Linked DNA regions of Ovis aries. The protein of the gene in region 4 interacts with the protein of the main gene of each other region in a pairwise test. Links are inferred from orthologs where the notes say so. Each region holds a gene or a part of one and is shown on either strand. Other genes may lie near its edges.

Region 1 (3,982 bases), on a different chromosome or scaffold from region 4:
CTGGAGTTACTCCCGCATGAGTTTCCCCAAGGAAACCCTCAGGCTCTGCAAACAGGCGACGACGACCCAAAGCCCCGCTGAGCACCTGGCTCTTTCAGACTCCCCCCAGGACTGTCCCCCAGCGGTTCCCAGCCAGCGACAGGGGCGGCGGAGCGGGGTGCTGTCTCCTCCGGCTCCCGGGGAATCTAAACAAAGACTAGGGCAGAGACCGCTCCCTCCCTCGGGAGCTCGACGTGGCGCGGCGACCAGGGGACGGGCGGGGCGGGCGGGGCCTCCCACCGCTCCCGGCGCACTCGGAGCAGCGGGGACCCTTCCTCCGGCCTCCTGCAGGAGGTGAGGAGCAGGCCGATCAAGCCGGGCTCTCCGCTGGGTTCGGGTGTCCGGGTGTCTAGCTTGCTGCGGGAGGCGGAAGCCGCGCGCCCAGGAACCGCCTCCCGGGTCCAGCCCCCAGGCCCGGCGCAGCACCGGGACAAGCGCCCACCCTCCCCGCGCCCTCGTGGGCACGCCCCCCGCGGCGCGCCGCCCCCGGCCCGGCCCCCGCCCGGCCCCCGCCCTCAGCAGCGGTGGCTCTGCGGAGGGGCCCCGGGTTGCCCGCACCTGCACCCGCGCGTTGGCGGCGGCGGCGCGGAGGCCTGGCTCCCCGCCTGCGCGTCTGTCTTGCTCGCGTCTCTCTAGGTGAGTCGGCAGCGCCCCGAGGCCCATCTCCCGCCACCCCCCGGCCACTGCAGCCCCGGCTGGCCCCACCGCCTCGGTGCAGCCCCCGCGCGCGACCCAGACCCGCGAGCCGGCCGCCTTGTAGCCGGGCCACACTTCGCCTAGGAGGGCGGCATCTCCTCCCCACCCCACTCCACCCCGCCAGGGCTCTTCCTCTTCGCCTTCCCGGCCCGACACGGGGACTCCCCCACCCCCACCCCGGCCAGGGCCACCGCCGCACCTCGCCCCCCGCGCCTCCCCGATCGCGACATCGGGGGCGGCAGGGCCTTTTTGTACGCGCGGCGGGCAGAGGGGCCCCCTCCCGTCGCCTCCCGGAGTGTCACCCGCGCCCACCCCGCGCTCTCTCTCCGCCTCCCGGAGTTCACCCGGACCAGGTGGCGGCGGGCGCCTTTTAGGGGTGCGCGGTCGTGCAATTGGTGGATTTTTTTAAACCGGTTTGGAGGGGGGGAGCGCGGCGTGGGGGGCGGCGAGAGCGCTCCCGGCTCCCGGCGGCTCCTCCTGCTCCGCTCCTCGCTCTCCTGCCGCTTCCCTCCTCGCCTCCCGCGCTCCTGTCCCTGGCTCCGCCGAGCGCACTCCCCCGACGCCGTAGCCGCGAGCCGGGCAGCTCCGGACGCCGAGATGAAGGTGCTCGGACACAAGATCGAGCTGCTGACAGGTATCGCCGACCCTTCCCGGCCGCCGCCCCTCGGCGCGGCCTCGCCGCCAGCTACTTTCCGAGTCGGAGCAGGAGCCGGGCGCGGTGGCGGCGGCCAGGGCTCTGGGGTGTCTCGGGTTGGCGCAGGAGGAGGGGGTGCGGACACCAGCTCATTCCTACCTTGTGCGCTGCGGGCTCCTGTGCAGAGCCGGGCCCCGGGAGAGGACTTGGGGCGGTGCCCTGCCCGGCTTTGCTCTCTGAGTCTCCGCGGTCGGCGTCGGGGTGGGTAGAGCGCTTGCTGCCGGGATGCGGTCGGGGGAGCGGCCCGCTGGAGTCAAGCTCTAGTCAGGTCTTCAAAAGAAGAAAGGGAGCTTGGAGCCCCTGCCCTTCTATCAGTGTCGATCGGTTCCCCCCAAGAAAGAAGCTCCCTGGGCTCCAATAGACTTCGGGGCTGGCGAGGGAGGGGGCTCGGATCTCCGGCTCCCTGTGGCAATCTGAGCAGCCCTCCCTGGGAGGAGAAGTTACTCGCTGGGAGTAGAGGCCAGTGACCAGGAGAATGGGGAGCCAGACTGGACCCTGATGACCAGGAACTTTCAGCCTTGGGCCCCTCTGAAGAAGTGGCCAGCCACTCTGCTGGAAACCACATCCCGGGAGCAGTGGCTGGAAGCAAAAGAGGACACTGGGTCTGCTCTGGAGAAGAGGAAGGAGACGGAGCAAGGGGTCTGAAGGGTGGAGGCACTCTCCCAGACAGGAAGGGCCAACCCTGCTGGTGGCTCCTGTGGCCTCCCCAGGGGAGACGTGCAGAGAGACCCAGACAGGAGGATGGGGGCTGGGAACAGCAGGGAGGTCCAGATGCCCCCAGGTGCCGGGCTCTGGGGTGCCCAGTCAGCGTGTCCTGCAAGGACACATGGGTTCCAGAAAATGTCCTCTGGCACCTGGGAGGTTCAGTCCCTCACCTGGAGGACCTTGCCACCGGGTGCATGGGAACAGAGGACAGGACAGGGAAGGGGGCTTGGTGTGGGGACACACTAAAGAAGCAGGTTGGAGCCTGAGGTGGGAGATAAGGGCAGGAGAGATCTGAGCGTGTGGCAGCATTTGAACTGCACCCTAAAAGACAGATTTTCTATTAATGGAGAGGGAGGCAGTGCTACAGGCTGAAGAATGGAGGGACCAGCATATGCAGAGGGCTTGGGATATGAGAGAGGCTTGAACTAAGCAGAGGCTGGAGGGCTGGAGCGTGTGTGATGGAGTGCGGGGGAGGGTTAGGTAAAGTTTGGAGTTCTGGGTATGGGTTCAAGTAACAGTGAGCCCTCCTTGGCTCAGGCCAGGCTCATAGAGAAGAGGAGATGGGCGCTGTTCCTGGAGCACTGGGAACACTGACCAAGCGTACAGAAGAGCAAGATCCGAGCCCAGTTAGCCAACAGCTCCCCCGCCAGTTCCCTGCCTATTTTCTGTGTAGAACTCGCCTGAGGCAGGCCAGTCCTCCCGACTTCAAAGGGAATTGCACAGGTGGCTGGACTTGTTAATCCCCTGGAGCAAAAGTTTTCACCACTCCGTGGGTGGGTTTTTAGAGCTCCGCACGCAGGACAGAACTCCTGGATCCTTCTCCTTTAGCCCCAGAAGGGCCTGGAGGAGGAATATTGGTGGGAGACATGTGTGGGGGCTCTGGTGGGGCTCCAGGCTTTGGGGCCCCAATACAGTGTACCCTCATCCTCTGGCTACACAGGTTAGGGCCCCTCCTCCCTCATCAGACAGACTTGCCCACTTCTCGCGGACTCTGTGCCCCGGCCAGGCTGGAACAGGGCTCCCTTGGCCACTGTCTTCAGTCCTGGGTCCCATTGCCATTTTCTCTCACCAGGCCCTGGGAGACAGGGCATGCCTCCGCTCCAGTGGTTTTCCCAGCCTTCTCTCTTTCTCCAACTCCCTCCCATCCTCTTACTGGTCTCACCAATCTGGGTTCTATCCCAGTCCCTCTGCAGGCCAGCTGCATGACCTCAGATAGGTGGCTTAACCTCTCTGACTCCAGTTTTCTCATCTTAGAGGTGAAACTGTTGACCCCTCCCTCTGTAAGCTGGGGTGGAGCTTGCTGAAATGGCACAGGAGACACTCCTGGCTGGGGCCTGGCCCCTGGTGGGCACCTCGCGGGCTTCATCTCCCCTCAGGTCCCTTGGTCTTAGCTGTCCCTGTGATGGAGAGTCCAGCTGCCCTGGCTGATTGGCCACTGGGAAGTCTGGATCTGCTTTCACCCGCTTTATCCCTGTTGCATGCATCTGTGTAAACCTGACCCATCTGCTCCACTGGCCAATGAGCAGGTCACAGGTGGTGGCTGGTTTCTTGTGGTGGCATACAGTAAGCGCTCAATAATTGTTGACTGAGCCAGGCTCAGCAGCATCTCCAGGATAATTTCACAGAGGTCTCCAACTCCCTGCCCGCACATCAGCATTAGGAAATTATTTCACTGAACCGCTGTTCAATTGATGTTTATTGAGCTGTTTATAGTTTTCACATTCTCCCATTTCATTATTGTGATCATTTTACCAGTGAGGCCAGTCTCTGCCTCATGTCAAATGGCTGAGAAGAGGTGGTGCTTTGTTTCGAACCTGAGTCCTGAGCCCTGAGCCATCCTATGCGTTT
Region 2 (3,996 bases), on a different chromosome or scaffold from region 4:
AATCTGTGTTATGTTACTTATTCACACAAGAATAGTGGTTGCCAAGAATTTCCCAATAAAACCTGCTAGGCTGTGACCCACGTTACTACTTTTTAATTGGGCCCTTCAGCCCCAGGAGAAATAAAGGAGCGAGTTGGAGGGGGGGGGGGGGGGCTTTCCCTCTCTGCCTCTTAATTAAGCAAGGCTTCTCACGTTGCAATTGTTTATTCCTCTAGATTTCCTCCGTACCCAAGGCCAAGCTCTTAATCATCACCCTGAGCACGAGGGTGTTCCAGAATAAAAGGTATGCGCAGCCCGAGGGTGGATTTTCCTCTTCTGTTTAAGGAAAAACCCTTTTTAAGGTCATTCCATAATCAATCTAATCCGAGGCAGTCAAAGAGCAACTGCGCAGAGTAAAAGTGCTGGCTACAGTCCGAAGACCTGGCTCCGCGGACGTTTTCCCACTGCCTACTGAGCGGCAAACGAAGAGCGCAGGAAAACAGCTGCAGGGGACAGTCCTAGCTCCAGTTCCACTCCAGAGCTTCGAGTTTCCCCGAAGGTCTTTTATGTTAAATGGTTTTGAAAATCACATTAAAGACGCCCAATGCTCCCCCTCAGTTATTTTTCCCTTTTCAACGTTTGGTGCCCAGCCCTCGCCGCCGAAAAATCCCAGCGCTGGAAGCAAAGCTCGCCGAGTAGGCAGGGGCCTCAAGTCCACACGCGGGGAGCAAGGGGCGGCGCACGGTGGTAGCGTCCGGTCCGGCGCAAAGCCCCACCCGGCCGGCGCCTCGCTTCGGCCGCCGCCTCGCTTCCTGGGAATAGAGGGCACCGGCGGCCCCGCCCCTACCTGCGCGCGGCACTGCCGTGAGCAACAGTCTCCCTCTGGAGCGTGAGAGCCAGACATGGCCGGGACTAGCAGCACCCGCACCTGGCAACTTCGCACGGCTCGAGCGTTCCTGGCGCTTCCCCTGGGCCAACTCAACGAGGCCCGAACTAAAATCAGGCGGCTCTGAGGGCAGCCTGGGGGCGGGGCGGACATGATGAAAGGCGGGTCTGAGAGGGCCTCTCTGACCCAACCGCGCAGCCGCCTGGTTGGGAGGCGGGGCCAGCCAGGTTGGAGGCGGGGCTAGAACTCGACTCAGAGGCGCGCTGGCCTCTAGGGGGCGTGTCCCCGGCTGGGAGGCGGGGCATGGGCGGGCCTTGATGACTGGGCGATCAGGCTGTGCTGAGGGCAGCCCAGGAGAAGGCCGGGAAGATGGCGGCCTCCTGGAGGCTAGGCTGTGACCCGCGCCTGCTGCGTTGCCTTTTGGGCTTTGGCAGTCGCAGAAGCCCAGAGCTGGTTAAGGGGGCTGCTAGGTGGTCTGTCGGCCGTGGAGCTAGTTGGAGATGGTTTCACAGTACGCAGTGGCTGCGGGGTGAGTGGCCGGGGCTTGCTCAGCTTCTCTGTAGCTGAGCAATGGGCCTGGGGCAGGGGCTTTTTGATCGAAGGCCTGCATCTGGGTGTGGAGGCGCCCGGAGCTCACCGTTCCCTAATCCTTTTTGTGGGAGAGGGTCTGCTGGCGTGGTCTAGTGCATGCCGCAAAGGGCTTTTTTGGAAGCTAGGAGAACTTAACTCCATCTCTGGCCGCCTGGTTTCTTCGTGACCTTGCCTTGGAATTTGGGTTCTGAGGCCTGTCTCAGGCCCCTTCCCAGTCATATTTCAGGTGGCTTTAGAGTTGGCTTATTGCCCAAGTTTGCTGACATTCAGACGTCATCGTTAGCTGCTTTTATTCATTTTCCTGACCCGTCTCAGTTAGGAGACCTTCGAGGCCCCTGGGATTGCTCTACGCCAGGACTGATGAAGGACCCCATTTGTAAATGTCTAGACATCATCAGACATAGGTCCGGAAGAATGTTTTAAGCAAAACATGAGCTTGAAAGAGTGAAAATTTAGGAGGGGAATCTTACGAAGGTGTCGACTTAAAGACGCAACGAAAGAGTTGTGAGTTTAAGTTTTATTCTAGGTCTTACTGAGTTTTATAGCCCGGGAGACAGACACTCAGCCCTGAGGAACTGCTCTGCAGAGGTGGGAGTTGAGGGGGGGTGGGGGCTAAGCCAGATTGCATATGAATTTTTTTGGCTAGGAAATGAATGCAGTCAAGCATATACCTTAGCAAAAATTACCGCCAATCATAACAGATATGTCATGTTAATGATTTTAATATTTATTATCTTAGTGTTTTTCTATGGATGGGGAGATGTAAGAATCTAGGGTTATTTAAATTCTTCCTGAGATGTGCTTTGAACCATCCCAGAGCCTGTTTATCCAAAGCATAGTGCTTCATCTTGAATTCCTCTCAGGTCTCACTGTTGCTGGGCAACTGCAGTGAGTTGTGAATTAACCCCTGTGGAACTGGGCAGTCGTTGAAATTCCTTAAATTTATTATAGAAAGTTGTCATTAAATAAAACACAATTCTCCCAGTATTTAATAGTTTGCAATGTAGTGTGCCAGGCATTATTTTTCTTGACAAAAGGGGCAAGTACATACTGAGCCTGATGTATAATTATTACCTGCCGATCATTCAGTCCCTCCATACCATGAATTGTAATATAAAAAATTTGGCGTAGGCATTTGCCTACATATTCTGAGCTACTTGAGGCCCAAGGGGGAAAAAAAAAGTTACATGAAGTTAATGGCATGGTGAGTGCACTGAGACTTTAAGATTTAAGGGAACAATTAAACTCCTTCAGCTTAATGTTTCATAAAATCCCTCTTGTAGCAGTGGCTTTTTTAAACTGTGTTTTAGCATTCCCTGTCCTCTCTTCCCCCAGTTTGTTAAATAATGAACTTTCCTACAGCTGCCAGAGATTCTGTCTGGGGTAGAACTCAGCAATCTACATTTTATAAACAACCTTTGGTGAATTTTCGTGTACAAAACATCAACGTTTGGTGTTTGATGGTCTACACTTTGAGATTTGCTCTCTTAGAAAACCATGGAACATTAAAAGCTCACTGTTAGGAATAACTGAGAAAGAATGTTCTTATTAAACAGATCCTTTTGAGAATCTTTGAACATTTTAAACTCTCTACTGAGAAAGGGGGCAAGTGTTGCATACTCAAAAATGTGCATGCCGTTTCAGGGATTTTGCTTAGACCCAACTTGACAGTGCTTATCTGAGGCATCATGAAATTTTACCTACCCCCCAACACACTGCGAACAACTTGTCTATCTGCTTGAACTTCATCTGTAAAGAATCCTAGGAAAGCTGTGTTAGCTTCCTGGTGCCTCCCTCTTTGATGGATACAGGGCCCGCCTCAGTGATCTAGGATTCTTTCCCTATTTCAAGATCAGTTGTTCAGTGGTGGTCCTCAGGTGTTTATCTGGTGAGCCAGTGGTTAAAGGACTTCCCCCATGGCTCAGAGGTGAAGAATCCACCTGCAGTGCAGGAGCTGCAGAAGACAGATTCGATCCCTGGGTCGGGAAGATCCTCTGGAGGAGGTCACGGCAACCCATTCTAGTATTCTTGCCTGGAGAATCCCATGGATAGAGAGAGGAGCCTAGTGGGCTACAGTCCATAGGGTCACAAAGAGTTGGACACGACTGAAGCGACTTAGCATCTACACACATACACTCACCAGTGGTTTAGACTACGCTTCCACTGCACGAGGTGTGGGTTCGATCCCTGGTCAGGGAACTAAGATCCCACATTCTGTGCAGTGTGGCCAAAAAAATAAATGAATTAAAAAAAATGCCAAAGTCATTTAAATTTTTTTGAAAAAAGGTCAGGTGTTTAGCAATTCTGATCTCTTTTTCAACCTTAATTCCCACTTACCATGCAACAACATATTCACAGGTTCTGGGGTCTGTCTACACGAAAGCTGATTACTGTATGTTATTGGATAGCTGTAGGTTATTTGGAAATCTTAGATATTTTTCCTAATGCTAAGTCAAGATTTGTCTCCTGACTTCACGTATTTTTGTTTTGCCATGATAAATATACATGACAATCCTTGAACTATTTGCTTTACAGAGCAT
Region 3 (3,500 bases), on a different chromosome or scaffold from region 4:
GAATGCATTCACAAAGTGTATCAAGTTTGAATCATCCAAAGTCACTGTTCACTTGACTTCTCATTCAATTAAATGGTGGGGCAGATGGGTCACATCTGGAAGCACCCAGCACAGGCTCTGCACGATGTGCAGACCACTTCCATGGGGCGAGAGGAAGGAGTTTTGAGCCCAAACCCTACCCTGCTAGAAAGGCCCCAGCTGGGGCATTTCTCCTACCTGTGATTGCACATTGGCTCCGACTTGGGACCCTTGGTAAGAATCCCCATTCAGACTCTGCATGTTCATGAACATGTCCCCAGAATTTGGGAGGTTAAAAGAACCAGAAGAACCTGGAAAGGAAAGAGTTAAGTAGCTGAATAACAGAGAGCTACACACATAATCCTCAAAGACCCAGAGGCAGGGAAAGGAGAAGAGGTAAAGAAGGGAAAGGTTGTGTACAACATAAAGCATTTCTAGATCTAAGAGGATGGAGAATAACTGCAAGTAGTGAATTTTGCATCTAGAAAAGTCTTAGTGATGGGGAAACCCAACTATGAAACAAAGGAAGAATCAAAACAGAGAAACACCCAGCAGCTGGCTTGGAACCATCCCCTTGTTTTCATTTATCTCCAGGACTTGTCATTAAGTGAGCTCTTCACCATCATTAGCTGTCATGGTGGACAATTACCCAGAGAAGAAACATTTTTCTGAAGCTTAAAAAAAAAAAATTCCTCCAAACTTTTTATTACTTATTTTTACTTTAAAAAGGTATTTATTATTTACTTGGCCATGCCAAGCAGCATGTGGGATCTTAGTTCCCCAACCAGGGATTGACCCATGCCCCTTGGAGTGGAAGGGCAGAGTCTTAACCACTAGCCCTCCAGAAAGTCCCTGAAGCTCTTTCTTAGCCATCCACTCTGCCTAACTTTCATCAATTTCCATGTTGCATTAAAAAGAACCTGGGATTGGGGTGGGGATGGAGGGAAAAAGAAGACATCAACACAAACAAAAAACCCTCCCTTTCTGAAATTTTAAAGACTATATTTAAATTATCTCCTTAGAAAAGCCCCTTGAATTGCTTCTCAAGCCCATCTGTTTGGGCTAGCTGTACGTCTTTCGTTGCTACTCAAGTTCCCTGTAATTTTAACACTTCCAATTCCATGAAAAATGCCACAAAAAGTTTGGCCAAAATGTATTGTATAAGGAGCCAAGATACTGCATCCATGTACTAACTACCATATCTCTCACAGCTAACCATGTCCTGATCAGCTAACCACGTGCTGAGCCTACCAAGTCAGCAGATAAGGACCGCAGACTCAAGTCTGCAGCCACATCAGGGAGAAAGCACTGTGGTACTAACCCCAGCATTCCAGCCTCATTATTCACAGCAACAGGTCAATTTCCCGCTTTTGCTATTTCACTCGTTCTTTGACAGACCACTATGGATTTTAAAAATGACACCACTATGGATTTTAAAATGACACATGGAACAATATAGCTAAAATAATCATTAGGGATAGAATGACACATGGAACAATATAGCTAAAATAATCATTAGGGATAGCACTGGGCCTCGTTGCTGAATTAAAAACCACTTCTAAGTGTGAAAGTTCCAGGTTCTATTGGTAGTGAGGGGCACTCACTATGAACAGTGGGTTTACAGGCCCTCTGGTCATCCACTCATTCACTGATTCCAGGAAGAAGCCTGCATTTTAATAGAATCTTTATGAATCCACTGTATCCTCAGTATGGCTCTTGTGTGCTGGCCCGTGAGGTGGGGCTGTGTGGCCTCAGGCTTTCTGAGCCGAGGAGGGAGTGAGCACCCATACGCACCAGAATTCGGCGTGGTGGGAGAGTTGGTCTGGTTGTTCTGCACGGCTGCGGCCACTGCGTGCGCAGCTGTCACGGCTGTCTTTGCGGCATAGAGGTTGGCTTCTTCCTGAAACTTGCCGATATTCTTCTTGTACCTGATTCGTTTGTTGCCAAACCAGTTGGATACCTATAAGTCACAGGGATGTGAGTAAGGGGAAGCGAGGGTCAAAGGAGGAAACAAGCAAAAATCAAATTTCTGCTACTAACTGTAGGAGCCCCGGGGGAGACCTTGGGAGACACTTGATTCTAGCCTGTGATCACATCTCGGGGATAAAGAAGAATGGTGCTGAGGCTCACTCACTCTTTTGGCAAACCTCTCAACACTCTTGGAATAAGACCATTTCTTGGAGTTACTAAAATGGCTGGAAGTGTTGTTCATCAAAAATATTCAGTTGGTATATACCAATTCATATATAAATGATTAGTCCTCCCCCCATCCCCAAAGGAGCTGAAAAATGAAAGGAAACGTTTGTTAAGTTAGGTAAATAATAAGAAACACTTGTGAAAGAATGACTTGTTCTTTTGGGGTCTGGAATAATTTTGGCAGCTGTACAGTAGAATCATGCTGAAAAGAGTAACATCAATTAATAATGGATGAAAAACCCCTTTGTCTCCCGCCTTAGAAGATACTGTACGTCTGCCAAGATGGCTGCTCAAGTTCTGCCAGTTAACATGTGAGAAGGTCACAACATGAAAACTCAAGCAATTCAATAAGGTCAAATGCAAATACAGAATCAGCAGCTGATTTCATCAGGTGGAATATATTTATTTCTTTTGCAAACTACTTATGATGTCAACCAGCACAAATGGAAGAGATTTCTTAGGAGGATCTTGGCAACAGGCAGATTTCATCACATTTCACTGACAACAAAACTTTAGCTCAAGATGCACTGCTTCTAGTTACACTGAGTGTTCAGGTACCTGGGAGCTGAGCTATATAAAGAAGAAGCTAAAACCCACACAGCAATGTATGAATAGGTACCCACTTTGCTATGTAAAAGGCTCTGACCTCTCTCTTGTTAAAGTAACAGTTTAAAAATACTTTTTAATAATTTCTTAATCATCTTTCAAAGGCGCATGCTGCAGTGGTATCAGACGGCGTGAGTCACAGTTTCATCCTGAATAGCTATTTAGGGACCCTGAGAAAAGGATAAGGAGTGAGTGATATGAACCCTCCAACCCAATTTCTACCAGTGGGCACGCTGGTTAACCATCTCTGCCAAGCCTTTAATTGCTTTGGAAATAGATCTCTCATTCTTCAAGCCATGGTGCTCATCCTTCCAGGGAAAGCTAGAGAGCCCTGGCAAGGGAGCCACATGAGGAAGACAATGTTGGCCTGCTGCTGCCCACATGCAGTCCCATCCTGGGGGGGGTCACTGTGAGCACATATGCACGTGTACACACGCCAGCACATTCGCTGAAGACCTGTGCAGTTACCATGAGTACAGGTTCAGACAGAAACAAGCCAAAACTCGTCAGGAAGCAAATATGCTGCAGATCAGGCCTTCCTAGCCATTTCTGTTCCACTGTCGTCTCCCTAACCCGCAAGGAAGGATTATGTGTCCCTTCTTTCCTTCATTTCAAACAGTGGTGGTAATAGTAACTATTCAACAAGCATCTCCTTTGCACCAAACATTACACATGGCCTT
Region 4 (4,153 bases):
CTGGGAAGCCCCGAGACAAGGCAGTCCCTGACTATTGTGCAGTCAGGTTCCGGAATTCTTAACCCTCATGCTATACTAACCCCCTGCACCCTCCTCCCAAGGGCCTTTTCTCACAAGCCCTCATGAACCCAAGTCTAGAACTTTCTAAACTCTCACAATGACGTTCCTTCAGCTCAGGACTTGCCTCATGTGTGGCATTGGGTTAGGAACTACCTGGAGGGCCCGGGGCAGCTGCTTCTGTTCACCTGGCACCACTGCCTACTGTGGGTGGGCTGGGCACAAGCAGGCACTGAGCCAATACCCCAGGAATGTGTGAAAGGAGGGCAAGGGTAGTGCAGGGTTGGGGGGTTGGGCATTTTCTGAGCTCCCAAGGGGTTCTGATCTCAGAATAGCCCACTTAGACTCCTGTGGGAGGCCAGAAAAAACAACAACAAAAACAGAACCCCTAGTTAATCTTTAATTTCAGATAATGAATAATTTTCTAGACTGTTCCAAATATTGCCTGGGATATAAGGTCCACTGGAGAAGGGATAGGATAACCCACTCCAGTATCCTGGGGCTTCCCTGGTGGCTCAGCTGTAAAGAATCCTCCTGCAATGTGGGAGATCTAGGTTCGATCCCTAGGTTGGGAAGATCCCCTGCAGAAGGGAAAGGCTACCCACTCCAGTATTCTGGCCTGGAGAATTCCATGGACTGTACAGTCCCTGGGGTCACAAAGAGTTGGACACGACTGAATGACTTTCACTTTTCATACTTAGATTAAAAAGTTATTCATTGTTGATATGAAATTCAAACTCAACTGGATGTCCTCAATGTCACCTGGCAACCCTAGCTGTTCACGACCTCTCAGCACTTACTTGTCTCTGATTGGTAGCAGCTAAGACCCTTAGAGATATGGTGTTTTATTTCCCAAGTCAAAGAAAGGACCAGCTATTTCACTGTGGGCAGTGAAAGCCGGCAAAGCTCACATCTGTGGTCACGTGTGGCCTGTGAGGCCCACAAAGTTTCTCCAAAAAAAAAAAAAAAAAAAGCCACAAACAGACTAAGCCCTCCCACTGGGCACTAACTGTCAAAGCAGAAGTTGGCCCTAACTAATGGTGGCCAGGAAAAGACAGAGCTTTGAAGTCTGACCGTGATGGGTTCAAATTCTGACTCTGCCACTTAATCTCTGTGGGGCCTTGACAAGTTACCTATCTGGTCTGAGCTGAAGTTGGCTCAGCTACAAAAATCTCAGAAGGTTGATACGACTAAATAAATAACCCGGCACACCACAGACGCCCTAAGAATTAGGGCTCACTCCCTCGTCAGTTCCTGCTCCTCTGTCCCTTTCCTCCTTCCCCCTTAATAATTATTTTAGGCAAGTCTCTAATCAGAGAAAAGGTAGTCGGCATTAACTGCACACAGCCTGGAACAGAGTGAATGTTGATACCAATGAACCTCAGTTGCCCTCGTGTAAATTTCTTCCCTGCTAAACCTTCAATCCAAGCCCATTCCCTTGTCACAGCCATCTCTCCCCCTGCAGCAGTTGACTGGAAGCCTCGGAGAGGTCTGCTGAAGCAAGTGTTCAATATTAAGGAAATGTGCCCACGTGAAGTCACAACACAGACCATGTCTAATAATCCAAATATGGATGATGTATTGTTCTGTAGTCATCTATCTCTTACTTTAGGACCAGACACCATGGGTGCATAATGCTTTGTCAAGGGTGAATAAGAGGGTACTCCTGCATACAATCTCAAAGGAAACTGTACCTAGGCCGCAGATGGCAGGTCTGGTCCAAGGCTAAAACCTTTCTGACCAAAGCTAAAGGCTTCAGCCTCTCAGTGGCAAACCCAGCCAAGAAACACTGGGCTGGAGGAGGGCGGGGAGAAAAAGAAGAACAGCCTTTGGCATTCTTACAGCTCAGGAAATGAAGACACCCCAGCGACCTACAGTGTTTTCCTAAATGTGCAAAGTTGGGGGATTCTGCTTTTGAGTAAATTCTATTGGTGTCTGTGTTGCTTAAGAAATAAAGACGTTGAATCTATCAACTCTGAAAAACCATCTGTCTGGGATCATTTGATTTCCTTAACTTGATCTTCCCAACAAGAGAGGCGGTAAGGGCAGTGTTGGGGGTCCAGGTGAAAGCTTTACCCCTCTCTCGGTGGAAGGCAGGTGTCCTGCCTCCAAGTCCAGCCTCGGGCTCTCCTTGGGTCCCTCCCCACCACGCTCTCCTCTTTCTCCAGAGAAATTCTGGGCGCGCAGGCCAAAGCGAGCCTCAGGGGCTCAGCGCTCCCAGCTGAACCGGTCTTAGGGAAGAGACGGCTGCTTCCCTCCTCCAGCTCCCTCTCGGTCTTTCCTGCTGGCCTTCTGGATCTGTCTTCCTGGTATGGTCTGTCCGCCCACCTCCTTACACCTGGGCTCTGTTCGTTCTCTTTCTCCCCACCACTCCACTTTCCCCAGATTCTCGGTCCTCTACCTCTAAAATCCTCACCTCTAAAATCACCTACTAAAAGCGCAAATACCCAACACGCTCCGGGAGACCCGCCCCGCCCATCGCCACCTTCAGGTTCACGGCTGGCAGCTCCATCGCGACCCAACCGGACAGCACCTGCGCCACAACCGCGGGGGCTCCTGGTCTCCGAACTCGGGAAACAAACTTGCCCAGCCCCGCCCCGCCGGCTGCCCTTTGCCAGAGCTCCAACCCCAGCTGGGCTGTGGGGGGGGGGTCACGTGAGTAGGTCATGTGACGACGGCCCGGTATCTAGGAGACGGCGTCGTGCTGCTTGAGCCTTCACTGCGCCACTGCCCAGGTAGTTACGGGGCGGGGCCGGGGACGGGGGCGGGGGCGGGCCGGGGCCGGGGCGGGGGCGGGGCCGGGGGCGGGGGCGGGGGCGGGGTGGCGGGCGGCTGGAGAATATCCAGATTTGTGTCGCAAAGGGCGCAATATCTCGCCGAGTTAAAATCCCAGCAGGTGGGCTGACGGGACCACCTGCAGCCAGGAGAACTTGGGGGAACCTCCAAGTACAATCTGCAGATGTGGTAACAGCTGGTGTCTCATCCCTGAGGGCACAGTCTCTCCTCCCTCCTTCCCCAGTGAAAGTGAAGACGGTTACCTACCTCATAGAATCCTTCTGAGGATGAATGAACTAATTCATGTTTGAAGAAAAAATACTGACACTTACTTTAAAGGTAAGGAAGACTTATTCAAGACTGTTGGGATCCCCTTGGGTCTGTCCCGCTGAGTGCTTATTCTTATTTCCAGGAGGGGAGAGACCACGTGGAAACCTGAAAGACTGGCTGGGTGGGTCCTAAGATCCTATCAAGATACAGACTCTAGATACAAAGAGCGGAGTTTTCCAGGTGGGTGTGGAGTCTGACACGACTGAGCGACTTCACTTTCACTTTTCACTTTTATGCATTGGAGAAGGAAATGGCAACCCACTGCAGTGTTCTTGCCTGGAGAATCGCAGGGACGGGGGAGCCTGGCGGGCTGCCGTCTATGGGGTTGCAGAGAGTCGGACACGACTGAGGCGCCTTAGCAGCAGCAGCAGTGGGGTCTTCTGCAAGGTCGCGGAGTCCGCTGGCCTATTTGAATGTCCCTTTTGGAGACACAGCTGTCCAGCCCCCTGAGCAGAATAGCACATCTGCCAGAGTAACAGAGAGCTGGTAAGCTTCAGAGACCGGACAGATAGCTACACTGGGCACGATTGTTGGGATTCAGAGCCCAGAGGACTAGCTGGACCAGAGAAAAGAGTTTGAGTCCTAACTTTGTCCACTTACTGGTTCTACTTGAGCAAGTCACTTTGCCTCTCTGTGCTTCAGTTTTCTGATCCGTAAAATGAGAGAAATAATAGTATCTTCCTTGAAGGATGGTTATTTTGAATTTGTTAATAAGGATTTGTTAATATGTAAAAATGTTTAGAACATTGCCTGGCAGACAGCCCTTGATCAGGACTTGCTACTGTTTTGATATTCATTATTAGTTAATTATCATAAATTATTGTTACTGGCATAGTACCTAGAAAAGAGGAATTCCTCAGTAACTAGTGGATATTATAACATTATTGTTTCCTTCTAAGAGATGTCTCCTATAAACCCTGGATCCTGCTGCTGCTGCTAAGTCACTTCAGTCGTGTCCGACTCTGTGCAACCCCGTAGATGGCAGCCCACT
Region 5 (4,031 bases), on a different chromosome or scaffold from region 4:
TAAACCATTGGAAAAAAAAACTCTTCAACTTAAGGTCCTTGCTTGTAGCAATTAACCAGAATGCTGGTTTGAAAGGGTGTTGCCTGGTTCACAGGGTCTCTGGGTGGGCTGGGGATTCAGCCTGCGGAGCTAGTCTGGTGGACACTCCTCTTACTGCACAGTGTTAGAGGCTTCAGCTTGCACCCCAGATGCCCTTGGTACTGAACACTGCATGCCCATATCAGCCCTGCTGCTGCAGCCATGCCTGCATGCAAGGGCATCTGCTGCTGCAGGGACTCGTATTTCTTGTAGCATCTCTGTGCCCGGAGGGAGCTCTGGTGAGCTCTGTACTTTGGGGCTTGTCTGATTGATTGACCAATGCAAGGAAGCTGGGAAAGCAAGTCTTCGGCATGTTCACTCTCATTGTGGGAGAGCACTGCCTCCTTAGGCTGGGAATTCTCCATCCATAGGAAGGGGGTTAGGATGCAGGTGGACAAAAAGAACAATAAATGTTGGAGAGAGTTGCCTGGGTGTCTGAGTGTGTGTGTGTACACACACGTGTGTATGAATGTGTGTGTTCAGTATCCTAGAGACATTTATTTCAATAGGACATCTCTTTGACTTTATGATGAAGCTCAATCATAGGAAAGTAGGATTGATTTTTACAAAATTTTGCTTTTTTGTTGGAAGGGCTGACACACACATTTCAAAAGTACCAATCCTTCTTTTCGGTCATATTTAGCCAGGAGAAAACTTGATGTTTCTGTGAGATTAAAAAATTTCCTGACACTAACTCTGAAATAGGGAGTTCATTGCCTTCATTTTTGGAATGATGTTCTCATTTAGTGAAATCCTGACCCATATAATCAAGATAACAAGGAATTTTTAATTTGCACGAATGACTCAGTTGTGGAGTACACACTTTGACTTGTGTTCTTCTGGGAGGTTGAGAAATTAACACTTGCTTGGTGTACATGAGACACGAAGCTGAAACCAAAATCAACTTGCACTGTGTCATATTTGTACTGAGATAACACAGAGGAACAGCTGTGACTCTTTCAAATGACTCCATTTGTTTGATAATTGCTGGGTAAAAATAGTGCCACTATTGGCTATTTCAGGATGACAGATGGCGTTCTAGATCGTGTTCCTTTCCTCATACCCCAAAAGAACAGGGCTGGGTCTCGCGGAGAATTTTTGTCTGTGTGTGAGATAGCATCAGGGAAGGGCCAGGACACCATTTCAAGTTTCTGTTCTGCAGATAGGTAGGGAGCAGGGAGGGTGATGTAAGGGAAACAGGGAACTGAATTTTTCCAGCCTGAGCAATGACAGGAAATAAAGGCATCGGTTGCTTAGGAGCAGAAGTATCTTGTGCCTTTGCTACCGCTGGAGGAACCAGGTAATTTGCTTTCAGAGCTCACCCATCTCCTGTTCAAACAGAGCTGACATGAGCCCTCTTTTTATCTTGGCTTTGCAGAGTAGAGGGAGGGTGGTCATTAGACCCCTAGCTTTCTTGCACTCAGCAAACTTCTCTGCTGTTTCTAATGTATCGTCTCAAAACTGTGCCAATCAAAAGTCTGTTAATTGGGGGTAAAACAGATTTCCTTCAGGAGCTGGCCCTTGGGTATTTTTCTCAATCAGAAAGCAAATGGAGCCCCACGTGAGTGGAGTAGAGAATGGTCTTTCACCCGAGTGGCAGGCAATGTTTGATATCTTATCGGTGTCCTCACTCTTACCTCAAGGAGGGAAGGTTGTCACATATGCACCCTCACTTTTCAGTCTGAAGTCAAGGAGGGAGGCAGGAACATTGATCTTTTGTGAAGTCTGAGGGCCCACGTCCTGGTACTGAGAAGGTCAGACAAAGATTTACAGCCTTACCTGTGTATGTGAATCTCTTTTGGAGATTTTATAACATAAATTTACCTGAGACCTACTTCCCAAATTTTGATTCACTGGGTCTTTGGTACAGCTCAGGCCCCTGTAGGTATAAAAGTTTCCCAGGTAATCAGAGCTTAAAAGTCAGTCCCATTTTCTCCCTACTCAGCTCCTGCTGAAGAGTGTTAGGTGCCTAGAACAGGCCGGTGACAGGAAGTCCTGGGTATGAAGTTCCTGGGCTTCCTCGTTCTTGTCCAGAGCTGCATGCTTGCCCTGGGTCCTTCTCTCTAGGAAGCTCTGTGGACACTTACATGGCGCCTGCAAGGGTGAGTTCCTTGTTCTTCCATAGTTTAAATGGAAACAGTTACTCTCATAGGAGCACTCAGAGGGAAAATTGAGACTTGTGGTTGGGTAGAAAAACAGTGGAAATATTTAGGCAGTGAGTAGGCTATAGGAAAGTCTTCCCAGATGACACAGCGGTAAAGAATCTGCCTGCCAATTTAGGAGATGCGGGTTCCATCTCTGGGTTGGGAAGATCCCCTGGAAAAGGAAATGGCAATCCACTCCAGTATTTTTGCCTGGGAAATCCCATGGACAGAGGAGCCTGGCCAGCTACAGTTTTCCAATGGAGTCACACAGGAGTCAGCCATAACTTAGTGACTAAACCAACAACAAGGCTATAGGAAACGGGTTAGAAGAGCTCTGATCCCCAGTGTTTCTGACCTGCAGGAGTGGTAAGAACAGAACCTCTGGGCATGTAGGCATACGTCATAAACATATCATGTCTGAGAAAGGCCCTGGAGGGAGTGAACACCTCTTAATTCTACTCACCCTTCTCTAAGGGTTCAAGGAAAATTGAGTAGTTTAACTAAGAGTATTTTAGTTGTAGCAGCAAATAATTTTAAAGGCGAATGAGATCTGGTTCCCATTTGCCTCTTTTTTTTTGTCCTCAGAAGAAGTCAATGATTATTGTTACATTGAAAATGAACATTATTAGAGATTATATAATCTTAAAACATCTTCAGTCTGATAATAAAAGAAGTGTTGACCATTTCTCCTAGAAAGCCGCAAGCCTAAGGCAGTTATTTCTTGGCACTTTTTTGCTCAGTTATGTAAATGGCCCTTTGTGGGAACACCAGAGTTGATCCAGAAATCTCGTTTTAAAGAGAGCTATCACATGCAGGAGAGGGAGCTCCGTGGGCAGTTCTGATCTGCATGATCCCAGAGTGCTGGTGTGGGGCTAAAAACAGCATGGGGCTGTCCTCGGCCATGAAATCAGTCTCAACAGCTTCATAGTCACACTGGAAATAGACTTGCATCTCCCCTACTGCTCGCCAAATCCTAAGGATGTGGATTTGAGAAAGAAGAAAAGAAATTTCAACCCAACTCACAGTGAAACCTGTGGAAGTAATTTGGAATTTCCTATTCTTTTCTTTGGCCCTCTGCTGACTCCCTTTGTATGAGTGCAGAATCCAGCATGAACCTGGGATGTGGGCTAAGAAGAGACCAAGAGGACATTTCAGAGGTTTTTTAGCCACCCTGTCATGCAAGGCACAGAGCTCCTGAATGGGCAGGGCTTGCCCTGAAGTCAAGGAGTTGTAGGGGATTTCTCTAGAAGCTGTGTGTATCTAGCAGTCATACTTTGTAATGCTTACTTAGGATGCGGGGCTTCCCAGGTGACACCAGTGGTAAAGAACCCACTTGCCAATGCAGGAGACGAAAGAGATGCGGGTTCGATCCTTGGGTCAGGAAGAGGAGGAGGGTATGGCAACCCACTCCAGTATTCTGGCCTGGAGAATCCCATGGACAGAGGAGCCTGGCGGGCTACAGTTGCAGAGTTGGAAGTGACTGAAGTGACTCAGTGGGCATGCATGCAGGAGGATGAGATTGTTGGCTTACAACCCCCAGACCGCCCCTCAGTGCTACTGCTGCAGAGCTGGGCCCTCTGCCCAGGCCTCCTGCTGGTACTTTGGTTTCTCCCAATAGACCTGTAATGAAGAGGTCAGCCATAACCCCCTCCCTGCCAGAACCCCACCATAACAGCTACCAATGTTCACCCAGAGCAGATACTTAGTAACTTTGTTTTTCAATAGTTTCCTAGTTGGCTCCCATAATGATATAAAAATAAAAATAGAAGTGTGTCTTTTCTTGCCTCTCCTACTTGACCTCCAAGTTAA
Region 6 (4,100 bases), on a different chromosome or scaffold from region 4:
AAGCAATTATGCAAACGCCTTAACTAAGTGACGTCACGGGCAAACAAGGCGTAAAGTTTAAATCACTATATTCAAACTCAATCACTCGGGTTACCAAAAAGAACGTAGGGATTGCAACAAAAATGTAAGAAAACAGCTCCTGTAAGCATACAAACTTGCATTTGAACTTTAAAAATCCTAGTTTATTGAACTTTTAGTTGGCGTAGTGATCTTCCCTCACTGGGTAGTCCTAGTTCCTAAGAGCATCAGAAACCTACACGCTATGACTGCCTTTAAGTATAAAAGAAGCCCAGCGAGCAGGGTCGAGGGCCGATCGCCGCGCCGGGGCTCGCCCGGGACTGAGTCAGCGGCAGGGCTGAGAAGTTCGGCGGGAGGCGCAGGGCGGGGCTTCCTCCCGCCGACTCTGAACCCAGCTTTACTTTTCCGAGTCCACGTCTCTTCCTTTGGACGGGCGTGTTTCTCCAGGTCGGGACCAGCCAACGTGACAGCCACAGACCTTTACAGAAAGAGCTCCGGCCCGGCCTCAAGGATTTCCCCGGTCGGCAGCCCGGGCCAGCTCGGCCAAGCCCCTCACGGACGGCGGCGCGCGGCTCCCCGCGGGCCGAGCTCGCCGCTCGCCTCACTTCTGGGCGCCCGCGTCGCGGCGCCGAGCGCAGCATCCCCGGCATGGAGACCGGCTCGGACTCAGGTCAGAGGCCCGCGCGTTTGTTTCGCTCCGGGGCCGCCGCAGGGTGCGCGGGCGCGGAGGGGCGGGCGAGGAAGCGGCTAGGCCGGGCCGCCCGCGCAGGCCGCCGCGTGCGGGGTCCGCGCGGGGAGCGCACGCGGGGCCGGCTCCCGCGCGCGGGGCGGGCGGCGGCAGGTGGGCAGGACGAGCCGCGAGCGAGCGAGCGAGCGAGGGCGGGCAGGCGGGCGCGCGAGGGGCCCGGCGGGGGGGCCGCTGGGAGGATGGCTCAGCTCTTTCTAAATATAAAACCGGCGTGAGTCGGGCGAGCGCGGCGCGGAGCCGCAGAGCCGCCGCGCGGGCCGGGCGCACGGGGGACTCGGCCGACCGACGGCGGCTGCTCCGCAGAGGCGCCGGGCTGCGGGAGCGCCCCAGCCGCGAGCTCGCGGGGGACTGGGAGAGCGACGCGTGCAGCGAGGAGGACGCAGGCGGCGGCGGCGGCGGCGGCGGGCGGGCGGGCCTCGCGGGCGCAGCGCGGCCCACGCCGAGCGACCGGAGGCGGCTCCCGGCCCCCGCCGCACCGCGAGCGGCGAGCCCCCCGCGCCGCCCGTCCGCACCCTCCCCCTCCGGCCCCTCCCTCCCTCCCCGGCGCAACATGGCTGCGGCCGCCGCCTCCGCCTCCCAGGACGAGCTGAGTAAGTGCCACGGCAAGCCTGCGGCCGCGAGCCGGAGTCAGCGCCGCGCCGGGCCGGGGGTGCGGCGGCCGGGGCCGGACGGGAGGGTCGGGTCGCCGGGCGGGACGGGCTGGACGGACGGACTGGCGGGCCGCGGCTGCGGCGTGTGGGGGGCTGGGGCGCTCGGGCCTGGTGGGCGGGCGGGCCGCCGCCGCCACCGCTGGCGTTTGTAGGCCTCAGCTTTGCACCGTCACGTTGCGAAATTGAAACCGGAGCCCCGGGAGGAGCCCTCTGTGCGATCCGCCTCGGCTCGGTGTGTCTGGGGGGGAAGCCTAGCTCCCCTGCCCGCTGAGGCTGGGCTGGCGGAGCGGCCGGAGCCCCAGGGTGGCGGGCTGTGCCCACCGTCCCGTCTGACCTCTCCGTGGATTTCTCCGGTCCTAAGTGTGGGGCAAGTTCTGGAAATAGCGCTTTCGGGGAGGGAGAGAAGGTGCCGTGTTGTGACACTCTGGAAATCAGCGGAAGGTCAAGAATAGGCGGTGACCCTCAGGTGGAGCAGGAAGGACTGGGGGGCAGAGAGGGTCGCGGCGCTAGCTGCAGGGGAAGCCTCGGGGTGACAGCGCTCTGGGAAAGGAGAGCCAGTGCACACTTGACCTTAAACGTTGCAGTTTTCCGGGGGACGGCGATCTACGTTCGGGGAAAGCGGTGGTCACCCTGAATCACAGGCCGCTCCGCCCGCCGCCCGGGTTCGCCTCGGTGCTTTGTGGGAAGTGTAGTTCCCGGGCGCCGCAGGCCCACGCTGGGGGTCAAAAAAAAAATCGAATTTTCCTAGGACTTGTAAGATAATTTCTGATTGCGTTTTGGGGTGTTTGGATATAAAGCTTTAAGTTGAAGTGTTGGGTTTCTCCGTGCTGCCCTTCAGTTTATGATCAAAAACAAGAAAGGTATTATTTAGGGATGCTGTGAGTTTTAAATGGAATGAAACCTGGGACAGGTGTAACAAGCCTTGGGAAGTTTCTGTTGTTACAGCCTCCCCTCTCTCAATTTCCATATGAAAGTAGTTGTACACATAATAATAATTTCTGTTTCTTTGGTCTTTGGCTGTTTAAAGCTACTTTAATATGCATGATCTCACTTTTCCCCTCGTAACAGCCTACTAAAGCAGGTAGGTAGAAATTATCTTTGTTTTAAAGAGGAGGCGTGTTTAGAGAGTTAAATTTCCCTGCTGCTTTGACACAAAACTGGCCTAGCAGTAGTGGTGTTTGGTCATTTTGAAGCTGAAATAAAGAATTGATGTGACCCTGGTTAGGATACAGAGCCTGAGTAGATTGGGTCTCTTGCGGTAGTTAGAGATAGACAGGGGCTGATAGTCACAGAGTTGTCGCTTGCCTGTTATTGTCAAGCTGGAGCACCACCACCAGGCCTTCTGGGGAGGTCAGCTCCCTGATCTTTTTTCTTCCATTTTTTGTTATTGTGGTAAAATAAACGTACCATGAAATTTACCGTCATAACCATTTTTAACTGTATAGGCCAGTGGTCTTAAGGACATTTCATATTGTTATGCAACCATCACCACCATTTACCTTGAGAATACTTTTCATCTTGCAAAACTGAAGTTCACTGCTCACTAAATCCCTCCTCCTCCTCCTCCTCCCCCTCCCAGCCCCTGACAGCCTCTATTTTACTTTCTGTCTCTATGATTTTGACATCTCTAGATATTTCATGTAAGTGGACTCATACAAGATTTGTCTGTGACTGGCTTATTTCATCTGGCATAATATCCTTAGGGTTCATCCATGCTGTAGCATGTGACGGGATTTTCTTCCTTTTTAAGGCTAATATTCCGTTGTAGGTATATTTCATATTTTCTCATCCACTCATCTGTCTGTTGATAGATACGCTGGTATGTTTTATCTGTTGTGACTATTGCTGATATGAATATGAATGTGCGTGTATCTCTTTGAGATTGTGCTTCCAGTTCTTTTGTATGTATACCCCAAAGTGGGATTGTTGTGTGATATGATAATTCTATTTTTAATTTTTTTGGGAACTGCCATCCTGTTTTCCACAGTGGCTATATCATTTTATGTTCCCACCAGCAGTAAACCAAGGGCTCCAGTTTTCTTCTAGAACCTTGCCAACGCTTGTTATTTTCTGTACTTTTGATAGCAGCCATCCCAAGGAGTGTGAGGTGGTCTGACTTTTTAAGTGGTTCCACTGCTAGATGCCTGAATTCATGTTATACCACTAAACACATTAAACTATAAATTACTAGTTGGAATGGGGAACAAAACTGGAGGAAGAATTGGGTCTCATTCTGAAGTGGCTGATGTATTTCTATACGTGTGTACTCCTCTACATCAGTACCTGTTAAGATGTTTGCAGTTCTTCTGGTTAAGGAATTTATTGGCTTTAGCAGCTACTGGAAAAGTTAGGAGGAAGTTATTCCAGTCCTTGCCTTTTCATTCTGTTTGGCCAAATCCCCAGTCATTGACTACAGATGTCTGTTGACTTGGTTTCTGTATTTAAGGAGAGATTAAGTACTTGGTAGTTGATACCTTAGAATAATTTAACTTGAAATTACAGTCATAATATACTGCACATATATATAAGGAACTTAAAATCACTTTCAGTTTCAGAAAGGCTGTAATAAAAGGAGAGATGGCTGTAAAAAAAAAAAAGGAGCTAAGTATCTGAATATTTGCTGGTTGTTGTTTATGACTAGTAGATGCTGTGTGTGCTCTATGCTTAGTTGCTCAGTCGTGTCT
Region 7 (3,361 bases), on a different chromosome or scaffold from region 4:
GTTGGATTGCAGTCTTTTTTCTCTCCCCTTCTGGCCTCCAGAGGGTGCAGAGTGGGGGGCTTTCTGGCACCCAAACCAGATGCTGTCCCTCCCCTGCTCCACCCTTAGCTCCCTATCACCCTCAAGAGAGTCAATTGTGGGGTTAGAGGTGCTACTTCTCACCCATCCTCATTTCCTGTCACCCTCTCACATTCGACAGTGGACCACAAAGTGCTGTTCCCCATCTTGTGAGAACTCCCAGCCTCTCCATGCCTCCACTTTGGGGTCCCTCTGCCTGCATTACCTTTCCTCATCCCTGGAGAAGTTCCTAAACACATTCTCCCCAGAAAGCTCACCCCCACATCCCACCTCTCCCCCAGACACAGCCAGTCCTCCTGCAATACCAGCCCTGGGCTCTGCCTGCCCCTGTGGGACTTGGAGCCCCTGGCAGGCAGGGCCCAGTCTGAGTCACCTCGGCATCTACGGTGGAAGGCCCAGCAGAAAGGATGCGCTCAGGAAAAGCCAGCCGAAGGAGTGAATTTATTAATGAAATGAACAAGGACTAAGGATGAACGCCAGGGTGACTAAATCAGAGAGGGAGCCAAAAGACAAGAACTAAAAGGAGGAAGGTACAAGGAAGACCTCCCTGTTGGCCCAGGGGTTAAGACTCTGTGCTTCCGCTCCAGGGGGAGCAGGTTCAATCCCTGGTCCCGGAAGTTTGCATGCCATGCAGTCAAAAAGGAAAAAAAAAAAAAAGACACAGGGAAGAAAAGAGATGGAAGGACAAAGAAGAGAGACAACAAGGACCCTAAGGCCATGTCTGAGCCTAGACTGGTCCCCACACTGGGTAGGAGCTCCCGAAGGGCAGGGCGGGTGGCAGGACTGACTCCCCTCTGGGTGCCCAGCGTCACCCACCATGGAGCTGGCATGTCATCAGTTTATGTCGTAGCTGCATGACCCTTTGAATAACCAGATCCCGGCAAATTTTTGTTGAATGAATGAAGCTACAAAGGAAGAAGCTTGTGGAGGCTGAGAGTCAGGGCAGGCTGGCTGGAAGGAGAGCCAGCTGTTGCTTTCAGGATTCCTGATGATGCCTTCAGAGAACAGAGCTCTAAGGCCATCCTGCGGTTCACATGGCCTCGTAGCCAGGCCGGTGGGTCGTGCAGTGAGCACCCAGACTCAGGCCACCTGGGGTAGCAGAGAAAAGTTAGATACTTGCTCCTCTCCTGCTCCCTCAGAGCCCCCAGCCAGCCCCAACCCTCCCAGCCAGCCCCTCCCCCAGCCAGCCCCCACCCCAGCCCCAGCCAGCCCCTCAAGCCAGCCCCAGAACTCCCCAGGCAGCAATCACAATCACCTGTACAGAGAAAGAGGAGTGTTGAAACCCAGCCCAGGTAGAAGGACCATGCGAAGAAGCTCTGGACCTGGGGGTTTCCTGGCTGGTTCCACCGCTCAATGGTGTAGACCGTCATAGCCACTATCAGGGACAGGGCTGGGGATGGAGACATGAGGGTCGGGTCAGCCCCCCTGCAGCAGCTCCCCCTCCTCAGCACCCCTCCTCCCCGCCCCCAAGCCCAGCACGGAGTCCTCACCTCCAGCAAAGGCCATGAAGGTGGAGACAATGGGGCCGCGTCCGGGGGCAGACAGCGAAGGGATGCAAGACATGACCAGAAAGGCCGTGGAGATCAGGCCCCACAGGACGGCCAGGATGCAGAAGCTCTGCGTCACATGGATGTAGCCTGCTCGGAAATGGGACCTCTGACTGCCCGTCCCCGCAGGCTTTTCCCAGCACCAAGACCACACCCCCAGCCCTTACCTGCTACTGAGACTTGATCCTTGCTGGGCCAGAGGCCTGAGTGAGATGAAGACTTGGGCCCCTGGGCTGCAAACCAGAAATTCGTGCTCAGAGCCACTAAGAGGGACACCAGGCCCAGGGAGCTGGTGAGGAGGGCCAGGGACCGGCAGGGCTCCATGGGGGTGAAGTCTGGGTTCCTGGGTCCTGGGTGGCAAGGACGAGGCTGGTGATCTAGCCTCCTGGGTCTCTGAAAGAGGAGGAAGTCTGTTCCCCCTCCGCCCCAGATTCCTGGGTCCTCTGGTCTCAAGAAAGAGAAACCAGCAAGCGCTAGGGGCGGCTGGGGGGTGGTCTTTGCTCCTCAACGTCAGGCCCGTTTGGTCTCAGCCTGTCCAGGGCAGCTGCTCTGTGTGACACACCCTGCCTTCCTGGCTTGCATCGACACCCGTCCCCCCAACCCCGCCCCTCTCTGAGGTTTCCCTCACCCTGGACGGTGGCGGCGGGGGTTGGCCCTGAAGATGTCACATTGTCACTGGTTTGGAACTTGTCTGTCTCCACAGAAGCCTCTCTATATGCTGCCCTTGGGGGCCTCCGCACCAGAGGGGCTTCCTGGAAAAGGTGAGAGAAAGAGATGGGAGGTGGGTAGAGGAGTGAGCAGAGGGGGCATGCGGTGAGTGAGGCTGGGGTGTGAGTTAGATGGGAGGGGAGGTGTGACTAGAGGGAGACAGTGGGGGAATGCATCATGCTTTCCTGTAATTCTGCAATTTTCCGTTCTGGGAGGTGGGGGCCCCTAATTCTAGGGTCTCTGAAAAAAGAGAGGGGGCAGTTGGCAAGGATGCTGGGCGCTGCATGAGGAAGGTGCTAGAAGCCTAGACTCCAGGTGCTGAACTCAGACTCCTGGCTCCTTGCTTGGAGCTTGTGCCGGGGGGAAGGTAGATAGTGACCACAGTTCTGAAAGTTTGCAGAGGGGAAGACGTGCCCACATCCTGGTACAAATGAGTTCACAAACAGCTCGGCCGAGGGTAAGGCGTTCAGCCTGGTGGGCTTCATCGCCGGGATCGGGGTTTCTGTGGTCAGGGGGAGAGGGGGGATGGGTAAAGGATGTCAGGGCAAGACTTTCCGGCTCTCCTCACCTCAACCAGCGTCAGGCTCTGGGCCCCACCTCAGGCACAAGGGGAAGGTGTCACGGCCCAGCGGGGAGGCGCAGACCCTAACCCTATCTCTGTGAAGCAGGAGTGACCTGGAACAGGACTGCTGTCCCAAAGAGGAACTGAGCCGACAGTCCCAGGACAGCCGGCGAAGGGGAGAACAAGAGTGGCTGCAGGAGGCCGGTCCTCTTCCTTGGCTGGAGACTCCAGTTTGCAGAGTTTGCCCCCCATCTAGATCCTCACCACCTGGGCAACTGGTCACTCCTGAGAACACGCTTGGGAGGACAGGCTCCTGGAAGGAGATCCTGGTCATGGACAGCTGGGGCACCATCTCGAAAGCGGTGATGGACCCGGCTCCTGTGAGGAGCAGCTGGACAGGCTTCAGGAAGTCTGGGCTGAGGGCATGTGATGATCACATGCTCGGAACCCATCTGTGATCTTCTGT

Evidence for each region.
Region 1: the proteins of AGTRAP (region 4) and NDRG4 interact in binary tests that used the Homo sapiens proteins (3 or more experiments, as listed by UniProt). The two-hybrid records come from large-scale screens. The link is inferred for Ovis aries from reciprocal best matches to the Homo sapiens genes AGTRAP and NDRG4.
Region 2: the proteins of AGTRAP (region 4) and PDHX interact in binary tests that used the Homo sapiens proteins (3 or more experiments, as listed by UniProt). The two-hybrid records come from large-scale screens. The link is inferred for Ovis aries from reciprocal best matches to the Homo sapiens genes AGTRAP and PDHX.
Region 3: the proteins of AGTRAP (region 4) and PBX3 interact in a two-hybrid assay, tested with the Homo sapiens proteins (4 studies listed by BioGRID). The two-hybrid records come from large-scale screens. The link is inferred for Ovis aries from reciprocal best matches to the Homo sapiens genes AGTRAP and PBX3.
Region 5: the proteins of AGTRAP (region 4) and SYT16 interact in binary tests that used the Homo sapiens proteins (3 or more experiments, as listed by UniProt). The link is inferred for Ovis aries from reciprocal best matches to the Homo sapiens genes AGTRAP and SYT16.
Region 6: the proteins of AGTRAP (region 4) and ECPAS interact in binary tests that used the Homo sapiens proteins (3 or more experiments, as listed by UniProt). The two-hybrid records come from large-scale screens. The link is inferred for Ovis aries from reciprocal best matches to the Homo sapiens genes AGTRAP and ECPAS.
Region 7: the proteins of AGTRAP (region 4) and NKG7 interact in binary tests that used the Homo sapiens proteins (3 or more experiments, as listed by UniProt). The two-hybrid records come from large-scale screens. The link is inferred for Ovis aries from reciprocal best matches to the Homo sapiens genes AGTRAP and NKG7.

What each region holds. Positions count from the first base shown.
Region 1 is NC_056067.1:25,843,264-25,847,245, forward strand, and holds the start of NDRG4 (protein NDRG4), read left to right. Parts: upstream 1-1,182; 5' UTR 1,183-1,332; coding exon 1,333-1,369; intron 1,370-3,982. UniProt on the Homo sapiens protein: Contributes to the maintenance of intracerebral BDNF levels within the normal range, which is necessary for the preservation of spatial learning and the resistance to neuronal cell death caused by ischemic stress.
Region 2 is NC_056068.1:64,238,595-64,242,590, forward strand, and holds the start of PDHX (pyruvate dehydrogenase protein X component, mitochondrial), read left to right. Parts: upstream 1-1,196; 5' UTR 1,197-1,234; coding exon 1,235-1,394; intron 1,395-3,996. Other genes in the region: APIP (methylthioribulose-1-phosphate dehydratase), read right to left, coding at 827-1,018.
Region 3 is NC_056056.1:10,137,761-10,141,260, forward strand, and holds part of PBX3 (pre-B-cell leukemia transcription factor 3), read right to left. Parts: intron 1,979-3,500; coding exon 1,813-1,978; intron 330-1,812; coding exon 217-329; intron 1-216. UniProt on the Homo sapiens protein: Transcriptional activator that binds the sequence 5'-ATCAATCAA-3'.
Region 4 is NC_056065.1:41,204,312-41,208,464, forward strand, and holds the start of AGTRAP (type-1 angiotensin II receptor-associated protein), read right to left. Parts: upstream 2,801-4,153; 5' UTR 2,726-2,800; coding exon 2,591-2,725; exon of another isoform or gene 2,570-2,590; coding exon of another isoform or gene 2,543-2,569; intron 1-2,542. UniProt on the Homo sapiens protein: Appears to be a negative regulator of type-1 angiotensin II receptor-mediated signaling by regulating receptor internalization as well as mechanism of receptor desensitization such as phosphorylation.
Region 5 is NC_056060.1:72,054,817-72,058,847, forward strand, and holds the start of SYT16 (synaptotagmin-16), read left to right. Parts: upstream 1-1,231; 5' UTR 1,232-1,378; intron 1,379-4,031. UniProt on the Homo sapiens protein: May be involved in the trafficking and exocytosis of secretory vesicles in non-neuronal tissues. Is Ca(2+)-independent.
Region 6 is NC_056055.1:12,010,964-12,015,063, forward strand, and holds the start of ECPAS (proteasome adapter and scaffold protein ECM29), read left to right. Parts: upstream 1-1,300; 5' UTR 1,301-1,316; coding exon 1,317-1,356; exon of another isoform or gene 1,357-1,415; intron 1,416-1,592; exon of another isoform or gene 1,593-1,648; intron 1,649-1,704; exon of another isoform or gene 1,705-4,100. UniProt on the Homo sapiens protein: Adapter/scaffolding protein that binds to the 26S proteasome, motor proteins and other compartment specific proteins. May couple the proteasome to different compartments including endosome, endoplasmic reticulum and centrosome.
Region 7 is NC_056067.1:57,519,990-57,523,350, forward strand, and holds NKG7 (protein NKG7), read right to left. Parts: upstream 2,181-3,361; 5' UTR 1,950-2,180; coding exon 1,793-1,949; intron 1,716-1,792; coding exon 1,569-1,715; intron 1,469-1,568; coding exon 1,334-1,468; intron 1,168-1,333; coding exon 1,109-1,167; 3' UTR 501-1,108; downstream 1-500.